2 linked regions of the Arabidopsis thaliana genome follow. Changing the gene in region 1 together with any one later gene gives a genetic interaction. Each region holds a gene or a part of one and is shown in the gene's direction. Other genes may lie near its edges.

Evidence for each region.
Region 2: of CHIP (region 1) and NBR1, changing one enhances a phenotype caused by changing the other (phenotypic enhancement), as found in Arabidopsis thaliana (one study listed by BioGRID).

What each region holds. Positions count from the first base shown.
Region 1 is NC_003074.8:2,357,114-2,362,417, reverse strand, and holds CHIP (carboxyl terminus of HSC70-interacting protein), read left to right. Parts: upstream 1-1,868; 5' UTR 1,869-2,116; coding exon 2,117-2,221; intron 2,222-2,526; coding exon 2,527-2,594; intron 2,595-2,703; coding exon 2,704-2,767; intron 2,768-2,923; coding exon 2,924-2,995; intron 2,996-3,297; coding exon 3,298-3,431; intron 3,432-3,521; coding exon 3,522-3,675; intron 3,676-3,760; coding exon 3,761-3,871; intron 3,872-3,966; coding exon 3,967-4,095; 3' UTR 4,096-4,511; downstream 4,512-5,304. Other genes in the region: AT3G07380 (glycosyltransferase family protein (DUF23)), read left to right, coding at 404-576, 959-1,094. UniProt on the Arabidopsis thaliana protein: Has E3 ubiquitin-protein ligase activity and may target misfolded substrates towards proteasomal degradation. Regulates the activity of some serine/threonine-protein phosphatases by E3 ubiquitin-protein ligase activity.
Region 2 is NC_003075.7:12,738,973-12,745,296, forward strand, and holds NBR1 (ubiquitin-associated (UBA)/TS-N domain-containing protein / octicosapeptide/Phox/Bemp1 (PB1) domain-containing protein), read left to right. Parts: upstream 1-2,059; 5' UTR 2,060-2,218; coding exon 2,219-2,251; intron 2,252-2,609; coding exon 2,610-3,499; intron 3,500-3,588; coding exon 3,589-3,712; intron 3,713-3,815; coding exon 3,816-4,073; intron 4,074-4,250; coding exon 4,251-4,400; intron 4,401-4,492; coding exon 4,493-5,050; intron 5,051-5,128; coding exon 5,129-5,230; 3' UTR 5,231-5,698; downstream 5,699-6,324. Other genes in the region: MOS1 (modifier of snc1), read left to right, coding at 1-765; AT4G24700 (uncharacterized protein), read right to left, coding at 5,835-6,266. UniProt on the Arabidopsis thaliana protein: Autophagic substrate degraded in the vacuole by non-selective autophagy. Requires ATG8 protein expression to be recognized as an autophagic substrate. Acts probably as a receptor for autophagosomal degradation of ubiquitinated proteins.

The sequences.
Region 1 (5,304 bases):
ATCACTATAAAATCGGCATAGACGAGTTTATTCGATTCTTCTAACTACCATAACACGATAATACATTCCATAAATTAGAAAAAAATCTTATAAATTTATTCTCTTAAATTTAAAACTAACCATAATCAACTAAACAATATTTACCACTTATCTAAATATAGCCAATCATTATGAACTAAACCAAATTCGAATCATTAGTGAGGATCCAATCTTTGATTTGCAACTTATCCTGCAAGATATTTTCGAATATTTTTGAAAATATTAGATCCAACAACCCTAGCCTCCTTCATCACTATAAATATCAAAGTCATTCTCATCACAAACCAAATTGAGATCAAGAACGATTCGATGGTTATTATCATAATCAATTCATGATAGTGAATGATTGTTTGCATAAGTATTCATGACGAAGTGGATGTTCTTCGTTGATGTTGATGAGTTTTTACATGTTCCGGTGAAAGAGACGATTTCGTCTGTGATGGAATCTTTGGAGGAATATTTTCAGTTTACTATTGAACTGATGCCTATGAGTAGTCAGGTTTGTTATTCCGGTGATGGCCCGGCCAGAACTTACAGGTAACATTCATAACTTTGTTGATTTTAATGATTGAACGTTAACCAAAGCCCATGTGTTGTTTATTGAGTGACTTAGAATATTAGTCACAAGTTTTTTGAAGGTGACATATAATATCAATAAGCATCTGATTCTGTCAACACTTGGCCTGTAAAAGTCTTTGTGCATTCTGTATTAGTCTCCTATGTCGGTCACGATCTTTGCTTTTATTGAACATCACATGATATTAGTGAGAAATGTTGTAAAGATTATTTCTTTTGTTTGTACCAAATATTGAATTGTAATTGGTTTGTATATTTTCTGTTTTTAGGAGGGAACATATCGGTTATTGATTTGGTTTAGTTCAGGGACTAATCTAAATGGTATTTTGGTTTTGTGTTTCAGAAAATGGGGAATTGAGAAACTGGCATATAGAGACGTCAAGAAGGTTCCAAGACGGGATCGGAAATACGCGGTCCAGCCGGAGAATGTATTCGCGATAGGCGTACACATGTCTCAGAATCTACAAGGGAAGACATAGCACAAGGCTGAGAGCAAAATCCGTTACTTCCATTACCATGGTTCGATCTCTCAGCGCCGCGAGCACGCACTCCTTATGTGCTAGACACTACAATCCGTGATGTTGGCCTTGCTGTGAGAACGTTCGAGTTGAGAACGATTGGTGATCGGCTGCTACGGACAAGACAATGAAGAGATGAAAAACATGAATAGTGAATCTAATCAATCTTTAGAAAGAAGAATTAGGTGTTAAGATGATTTACTTTGCATTGTTTTCTTTTGGGGGTATATTCTTTTATTGTATCATATAATTTGGGTAATGGGATCATTAATACAGCTTCAAAATACTCTTTAGTATAAATATTCTGTATGATTTAGAAAAAAGGTCTCCTCATAAATGTTATTATCTTTGTTTTGCCAAAAATAAAAGATAAAACATACCAACTTTGGTTTTTAAAGATCTTATAATCAACAAAATAATTACACCATCTATCATTATATTATATTTTTGTCACCATTTTACTTATATCAAATACACATTTAGTAATTGATACACAACTTTAAACACAATAAAATACATGATTCTAATCAGTAAATAGTCTCCATACTAATAAAAGATTCCAATCATTATTTATACCAGTTTTAAAAAAACTAAATATATGTTACTATTTTTTAATATAACACACACTAATTTATTTAATAAAAAATTTATAAAAGCCTTCGCGCGACGGGAAACCGCGGGTTTAATCCTAGTTGTATAAATAATTTACAATTAACCCAATGACCGGTTTATGGTAGTAAACAAAAAGAATGACTATAAGATCCGGATTATGATCCAAGTCTCATCGAGCTGACCCGGTAAAGAGACTAATCTCTTTCGATAACCGATTCATTTAAAATTCCCTTTTGCTTACTTTTCTCTCTCCTTTCATCGAGAAATTTCGCGGCTACTTCTCTTCTGAAACGCACCGGGACGCGCCGTCGCACAAGTTACAGAGGAGTGTTGGAAAGGATAAAGACTTGGTTTTCTGGGGTGCCGTAGATATGGTTACAGGCGTGGCTTCCGCCATGGCGGAGCGGTTAAAGGAAGACGGAAACAATTGCTTTAAGAAAGAACGTTTTGGTGCTGCCATTGATGCTTATACCGAGGTACATGGTTCTCACTCTCCTTCTCTCAATTTCATCGTTAGGGTTTTGTGTTTTCCGAGATTTTGATTGAGATCTGCGTAGAGTAATAAACCCTTGATTATAATTTCGAAATTGGACAATTCGTTTGTGAATCAGAACTTAATTGCATCCAAATTAGGTTTTGATGGAGTGTACAATTCGAGAATAGACATTTGATGGAATTTATGAATCTTTTATGTGCTCATCGTTATAAGTCATCAAGAAACTTCAGGCTTATTCAATTGTAGTGGTTTTTCTTATCATTTTTTTTTTGTGTAATTGAGTAGGCAATAGCTTTGTCTCCAAATGTTCCTGCTTATTGGACCAATCGAGCACTTTGCCACATGAAGCGAAAGTGAGTATTGTTCTGTCAAGCAAATTTTATACATACTTCTGATTAGGCAATCCTAATGCCCAAATACTTTATGGTTCATGTTTGGCTTCTTTGCTTGCATCAAATTTAGGGATTGGACTAAGGTTGAAGAGGATTGTCGCAAAGCTATTCAGCTTGTCCACAATTCCGTCAAGGTTTGACTCTTTTGATTATATCTAAATGGAATTCTTTTGCTTGGTGTGCTATGTATGGAATATGTCAAGTTTTTTGTTTTGTTTTATCTTTTCTTGGCCTTCTTTGATCCTTTCTTCTCCATCATATGAGGATTTTACAATTATGTTCTGTGGCAGGCACACTACATGCTAGGACTTGCATTATTGCAGAAGAAAGAATTTACTAATGGAGTCAAAGAATTGCAAAGGGTAAGGATCTTTGTTAGTCCTAAGCTTTTTTCTGTAAAATTTATCAGTGGACATGATTGTTTAAGTCGTAACGTTGAGACCTAAGTAGTGTAGTTTCCAAGCATCTTAATGAAGATGTGAGGCACCACTTGAATCTCCATCTTTTTCCTTTTGAAAGATGTCTAAGTGGATACTGTGGACACTTGTTTTAGTTAGAAAAATCACTAGAGATGGGTTGGTTTGTTTATGCCATCAAATACTGCAAACAAATTTTGGTTTGATACCTGTTTCCTGTTAACTTCATGTAGCTACGTTTCATATAGGCTTTAGATCTTGGAAGATGCTCGAATCCAACAGGATATATGGTAGAAGAAATATGGGAAGAGCTTTCTAAAGCAAAATACATGGAGTGGGAACTGGTTTCTGCAATGCGGTCATGGGAACTGAATAGTTTGAAGTAGGTTCTGTAACTTTCTTAATCCAGTGCTATCATTCGACTTGGAACTGTGCTTTTGTGGCTTTATGGAACTATTCATGTTTGTGTTAGGGAAACTTGTGAGGCTGCTCTTAATCAACAACGTGCTTTAGATATGTCTCGAACAGAAGAGTCCTCAGACGAAGCATATACTGCCCATACTGAGCGTTTGAAAGCTCTTGAACGAGTGTTTAAGAAAGCTGCAGAAGAAGATAAACCAACTGAGGTGCATTAAATTTTCTTTAAAAGCTTTTAAGACCCATCGTTCATTTATATTTGAGGTCAAATACATTTCTGGTTTTTCTTTTCAGGTGCCAGATTATTTATGTTGCAATATAACTCTTGAGATTTTCCGAGATCCTGTAATTTCTCCAAGTGGGGTTACATATGAAAGAGCAGCAATCCTTGAACATCTCAAGAAGGTTTGCATTATCATCGCTCTTTTCTTGTAGCCTTAATCTCTATAAAAAATATTCCTCATTCCTGTTAAGGTTTGATCGTTTACACCACTTGATAGGTGGGGAAGTTTGATCCTATAACTCGTGAAAAAATCGACCCGGCTAATCTCGTTCCAAATCTGGCTATCAAAGAGGCAGTGGCAGCATATCTAGAAAAACACGTCTGGGCTTACAAGATGGGTTGTTGATCGAAATGGGGATTAACATAAACACAATGAAGCGGATGAGAAATTGAGGTTAACTACTCAGGTGACCGAACAAAACAGATGGGTGCGTTTACCTTTTTTCACATTTGTGTTTGTTGTTGCCGATGTTTTCAGTGTAAGATTCTCTGCCCTGTGTATATATTACAATGTTTTTTTGTGCACTCTGTACACATTGGCCATATGGCTTAGCCTATATAACACACATACAGAATTTATTTACTATTGAGGAAAGCCCAATAACATACATACAGATATTGTTTATCATTGAGAAAAGCCCAATAACAGACAGATTTAGATGCAGTTCTCTGACGTCAACAAGATTGATGAATTGTATCTCATTAGGATGTAGTCCAAGGCATGCTTAAGTATTTTTTGAAACCTTCTTGGACCACTCCGGTTCTGTGCCATGAAAAAAATCTGGATTGTGTGATTAATCATCTAAAATAAAACTGAAAGCCTGAAAATTCAATATAAAAACAAAAAGTTGTCATGCAATAGTGTAGAAAAACAATGATTTAGTTGAATGTTCATCAAAGTTGAAAGAAAGCAAAAGACATGGGCCATCATAAGGTATTCAAAGTATTGAATGAATTCTGCCTAATAAGGCGTAAATCTTGGGGTCTTTTAAATAGAAATAAAACTACTATTTTCTTTATCTATATGATTTCCACTGGGGACACATAAAAGGTAAACCCACCATTGTGGTTGTGGATTATTACGATTCTTTTTCTTCCTTTATGGGATTTATTTCTTTTTTTGTATCCAATGAATTGTAAACGTTACTTCTTGGGGATAAAAAGTTAAAAAGAAAGCATCAAATTCTTTCTTTTCTTGGCTTTTCTGTGAAAGTTTGGTGAGGAATAACACCAAAGAGTGGTTTAGGACGAATCCATATTCTATCCTCTCTATTAAATATTCCATTTTTTCAACTTTCTCACGATATGTTGACCTGTAATTATTACGAATCACGAGTTTTAGCAATTTCGTGATTCAATTCTAACTTCCAAGCAATCCAACCAACCAAATACATGTGATTTTTATCATTACTTACATGCTTCTTGCCTTGTCTAGAACATTTTTTAGAAATATATTACAAAACTACTCCGTTATGTTTTCTAACAAAACTTATAATTCATCAGTGATAGTCGAAATTTATTTATAAGCTTTGATGAGTATTTATTTATATATAAA
Region 2 (6,324 bases), on another chromosome or scaffold:
ATGGAATCCAGTGCTGTTGGAAAAGATCAAGGAATGAGCATGCACGGCAGGCAGCATGCTTCAAGAAGCAACAAGGATGGAGGAAGCAACTATGGTGACCCTAAAAAAGGCAATAAGAGGGATTTCAATAAAGCTCATACGCAGCACTCTGGCCATGGGTTTAGCCAACCAGATTTGCCTGCTGCTTCAAAAGAAGGTCGTGTCCCTGGAGATCATGTGTGGCATACAGCTAATAGGACAGGTAAGTATGGTGGTCGTGAAAGTACAAGGGACAAACCTTATGGATCTCAGGAAAAAAATGTTGTTGGATACGAGCATCAAGGGTTTACTACAGAACAAAAAACGACATCAGCTGATACACAAGCCCAGTTGCAAAACCGATCTACCAATAAGGAGGTCCAGGTTGAGCAAAATCCGAATAGTATGTTCCAAAAGAACACAGGGCAGGGTCGACGGTTTGGAAGAGGGCAGGAGTCACAAGGAGGTTGGGGTTTACCGGCGCAAGAGAATATGCACCATCACCATCAGAGGCCACCTTCAAACAGAGATAGACAGAAGCAAAATCTGCATTATGAATACAAACCTGTTGGGTCTCATACTTATGATGGAGAACGTAGTCGAGAACAATCGAAAGAGAGTTCTCAGACAGAAGGTCCAAGATACAGAGAGAAGGGACAGGGGCAGCAAAGGCAGGGTGGATACCAACAGCAAAGGGGTACTAGTGGGAGAAACGGTGGTCATGGATTCACTGGTGATAGAAACTAAGATTGGCCTCTTATTGTTATTTAGGTAGTAAGAGCTGCCATGCTGAGGATACTTGCATTTTGAGATATGGCGATTGAGGAAGCTAATTCGTAGGCACATAGCTTGGGAGATTGCTGAGAGGAGACCTATCCGAGGAGGTATTGGCAGATTAAAAAAAAAAAGTCTTTGTCTTGAGAGTTTATTATTATATGTTTCAGTCACTTGTTTGAATATGATTATAACTACTGTAGTAGCCTTTTGTATACACTAGATGAATACTCATGAGTATTTTTGTTTTTAAAGTTGCTTAAAAAAATATGATTATGTTTTTTGGTTGATTTTGATGTTCATTTTGATAAATTCCTATCTATTTAATATAATTTTTTTATTTTATGATTAGATTTATCTATAACTCGAAATATCAATTCTAGTATAATATATATATTTATATCTATTATTCTAATATTTTATTGTCATGATCACATATAAAAACAATATATGATATATTGATACAATGTATGCGTTTTGAAACTTGTCTAAATTAATTGTACAAACAATTATTTATTCCATATATTCTCTTGTCATCAACTACACAATCACATCATGATATGCTAGTAATTCAAGTCACACTTTAATTCTTTTCACTTGCATATAGCCATATAGAATCTCATATTTTTTTTTTTGTATGTCGAATGTCGAATGTCTCAAATGACTATTATATTATAAAATTGTATATCAATGTTACTAAGTTATTAGAACGCACCAAAATGTACAGAAAAAGTTCATATGATAAATTATATTCACAAAACGTAATAATAAGAAAATATCTAATTAAATTTACTAAATTTATATGAGGTTAGGTAGCAAACATAAGAGTTTTAAGAGTTTGGATTTTGGAATTGGTGGTGTTTGTTTCTCAAACTTCATAAATTAGAGTTTAAAATGTTTTTTTATTTTTTGTGGTCGGCATAAGAGTTGAAGTTTTAATAAAATAAAATAGTATCTGATCATTTTATTGGAGAAAACATAAAAGATGTAGTATTTTATAAGAACTCGAATTGGTCAATTTTCAAAATGTTAGTATGAAAAATAAAATATCTAGTTATATGTACTCGTATCTCTTGATATTTTTGGCTTTAACTTAGGGATGTTAGTTTGATTTGTCTTTCTGGATAAGCCAGTAGTAACCAAAAAAGTCAAAATCTTGTTGGCTAAGTCAGAAATTAATTAAATAAACAAAAGGGCCCATTAAATTAATTATTTTAATAAATATTCTGTGTAATGATATATAGTATAAAACGCGACCGTCTAAATTCTTGGTTGTTTACGAGAAAAGCGGATTACGGGTACGCTTCTTCTAAGATAAATCTCTCCCCGATTCTCTCTTTTTCTCGCTAGATACTCTTTTTCTTCAATTAGGGTTTCTTCTCGCTTGCCTTTTAATTCTCTCCAGCTGATCTGATCTCCGTTACCGATGGAGTCTACTGCTAACGCACTCGTCGTCAAGGTTAGAGATACAACCTTCCTTTCTTTATTTGCGAATCGTCAGTTTTCTCACAGTAATTGTCGGTGATTCTGGGTTTTCGTGGCGATCGTCTCGTTTCTGTTGATTTTGTTGCTTGTAATCGGTCCTTTCCTTTTGAATTTCGCTATGGATCGACTCTCTCTCTCTCTGTCTCTGTATTATAATCTTAAGTGTAATTCGAAAATTTTCCAGACATACTTAGCAGTATCTGCTTGAATCTTATACCCGAACAATGATTAAAACTATAAGTTATCGTAATTAGAATCGTAATCTATTTCTTCGACAATTTTTTTTCATTTTTTTCATTGAAGTGATACTAATTTTGTTTGTGATTATGTAGGTGAGCTATGGAGGTGTGCTTAGGCGTTTCAGGGTGCCTGTTAAAGCTAATGGACAGCTTGATCTTGAAATGGCTGGTCTTAAGGAAAAGATCGCTGCTCTCTTTAACCTCTCTGCGGATGCTGAATTGAGTCTGACTTACTCTGATGAGGATGGGGATGTGGTTGCCCTTGTTGATGACAACGATCTCTTTGATGTTACTAATCAGCGTCTTAAGTTCTTAAAGATCAATGTGAACGCTGGCGTGTCCACTAACTCTGCTGCTCCAGAGAGTAGTGGGAGTTCCACACCTGCGGGTATGCCTAACCCGGTTTCCAAAATCCAGAAGGGTATAAATGATGTTCTGATGGCTGTACCTAACCCGATGCGTGATACCATATCAAAGGTGTACATGGACCTTGCATCCAAGGCCTCAACTTCTAGTCCTGTAGTTGGTGAGATGCTTGATTGCATTTCCAAGCTAGGGCAGCTCTCAATTCCTCAGGAAAGTAGTCCTTGCTCACCTGTTACCAAGCCTGGTTCTTCAGGTGCTTCCCTGAGCAGGGATGTTCCTTCCGCTGGTGGAAAGAAGGATATCTCTGAGAGGACCCAGACCGGAAGGAAACCTGTTAATCTGAATGAACCCACTGGCGCTCATTCAAAGACTTCTGGTCATGTACCAAACTCGTCTGGACTGGGTGCTAATTTCAACGAGTGTCCCTTTAGTGGCAGTACCATGAATTACTCCTGTCCAAATCCAGTTAACCTCAACAAGCATCCTCGTCGTGTTTGTCATTCCAAAAAGAGCACCAATGGTGATTACTGGACTTCATTGGGTGTATTCCATAAGGGCATCCGTTGTGACGGATGTGGAGTTCTTCCAATTACTGGGCCTAGATTTAAGTCGAAAGTGTAAGGATGCCTTCTACTTACTACTTTAGAAACTATAAACATGCTAGAACTTATTGTGCTTATATGTTTCGCTTGTGAATATTGTGCAGTAAAGAAGACTATGATCTGTGCACCATCTGCTATTCGGTGATGGGTAACGAGGGGGATTACACAAGAATGGATAAGCCTGTATCCGTTCAACATCTGCATCCTTTTAGAGGACCGTTTACCCAAGTATTGCTCTTCTTCTAAGTTTATAATTACTTTTCTTCTTGTTTATTCTATGTGTCTTCTCTGATAGCTATGAGGAATTCTTACCCTTTTTTTTTTGGTATAGTTTCCTAATCCTTGGTTGAGCCACCCTGTGCCACGAGCAACCAATGGAGGTGCACCTCTCAGGTGTACTCGCCCTAAACTAGACAGTCGGTTTGTCCTTGATGTGAATGTAATTGATGGAACCGTTGTTGCTCCATCCGCCCCATTTACTAAGATTTGGAAAATGAGGAACAGTGGTTCGCTGGTGTGGCCACAGGGCACACAGATTGTCTGGATCGGTGGGGACAGGTTCTGCAACTCCTTGTCAGTTGATTTACAGGTTAGAAACAATTTCCTTAGTTTTCACTCTTTTAGCTCGATTCTTACCACTAACAGAGCAATTATGTTGTTTGAATTTACACTCGATGGCTTGAGTTAGGTTGTTTTCTTCACGAAGTGACTATAGCTGCTTGATTATATAATACTAACTGTTTTTTTCTCTCTTTACACATGGCAGATTCCAAAGGAGGGTGTGCCTATCTATAGTGAACTTGACGTCAAAGTTGATTTTGTTGCACCAGAGTTACCTGGTCGATACATTTCTTATTGGAGGATGGCTACCTCTGACGGTGCTAAGTTTGGGCAACGTGTTTGGGTGTTGATACATGTACTTACTAGATTTGTGCAGCTTCTGTCCTTTAATTCTTTGTCTCTTTCTATCATATGTGTTTGATACATTTTTTCTTTTTGCATGGTTAGGTTGATGCATCTCTGAAGAATTCTGTTGTGAATGAGTTTCATGGACTGAACCTTAATGCCTCCCCCTCCCTTGATGAGAATTTTCCAAGCGAATTTCTAGGGATTATGAATTATGAGTCAGCTCAACCTGGCAGCTCCAGTGTCAATCCTGGGACCGTGAAAGGTACTGATCTAGAGGGCGAAGTTGGTGAAACACAGGCCGTGGAAAAAGAAAACCTTTTGGTTGGTGAAGCTCATCCTGCTATCCCTCACGGTCATTCTCCTTCATCTTCATCTTCTTCATTTAACATGGTCGACTTCCCAAGCATGCCTGCTGTTGAGGTCTTGTCTGGTGGTTCTTCATCTACTACAAAAGACGTGCCAGTTCCTCTTCAGGAGGATATAGAAAAGAATGACGTGGAGATAACCATGCTCAAGGAGCTCGAGGAAATGGGTTTCAAGGAGATAGATTTGAACAAGGAGATCTTGAGGGATAACGAGTACAACCTGGAGCAGTCTGTTGATGCTCTTTGTGGAGTTAGCGAGTGGGATCCAATCCTAGAGGAGCTTCAGGAGATGGTAAGTGTGTCTGCACTTGGTGAATTTATTAAATCTTACTTTGCAGATTGGAATGTTGAAAATATTGTGATTTTGCAGGGCTTCTGTGATGATGTGACGAACAAGAGACTGCTGAAGAAGAACAATGGAAGCATCAAAGGCGTGGTAATGGATCTCCTCACAGGGGAGAAGGAGGCTTGATGAGCTCTTTGGTTTCTGGCAACTCTTCTCTATCTCTCTTATCTATCAGGAATAATTATGTTTTATAAATAAAACCTGATCTCTTAGTTTGGTTTCGTGCTGCGTCACATGGTCTGTTCCTTTGCTTTGTGTTGGGATGATGTTACTATGTTAACTCTATCTAAGACATGGATGGTTTCTTTCTTATTTCAGTTTAGTTTATGTCGTTCTGCTCCTCGGGTCAAATGAATGGTTGAGTCTTTTTTATTGATTTCATCACTTTAGGCCTTTTTGGTCTCCATTTCTCAGCTGTATTTGGCTTAATGTGAGTTTGTGAGAAGAGCTTTCCTTGAAACAACGTACTGTTTTAATTCACATTTACCCTCTCATCTCTCTCAATCAGGTGACATTTTCACGTGGTCGAATCATCGGCATGGCAGTTGCAATTAGTCATGGTGGTCGGCTTCATTAAACTGTTTACAACTGACAAAACTTTGTTATTCTATCCATAGAAACCATTCAAAAACCAATAAAAGTTTTTGAATAGACCAATAAAAGACATTCATAATTGATTTCACTTTTTGAGAAAAATTTACAAGTTTGAAGTAGTAACATGATGAGTTTGTTAGAATCTCTTTGAAGACGAACGAGTGAACAAACTCCTAAGGCTGTTTCTGCTGTCTCTAGTTTTCTTCTTCTTCATCTTCTTGAGGCCATCATTATCTGAAGAAGAGAAGGTTTGTTCTTCTAAAGTGAGTTCGCGTTCCAGTTTCTTAGAGACCGAAAGAATCTCGTAGGGATCCCACAGCGACTGTCCGAATTCCCAATCCAAAAACGACGGATGATGCTTTGCGGACAAGGCTTCCGTTTTGAAACGTGATGCCTTCCCTTTGACAAAAGCATGCTTTCTCTGCGCATCGAACTCTAAAACAGTATGTTTTGAGGTTTGGGAGTGGCTGAGCCAAGCCTGCGCAGCTGCCTTCATCAACTCTAGTCTCTTCTTCTTCTCCTCTTCTTCTTCTTCATTTTCATCTTTAGCCTCTCGTTTCTTCCTCATCTCTCTTCTTCTTCTTCTCCATTTTGGGACTTTTGGGGATCCAAGTCTTATTATGTAA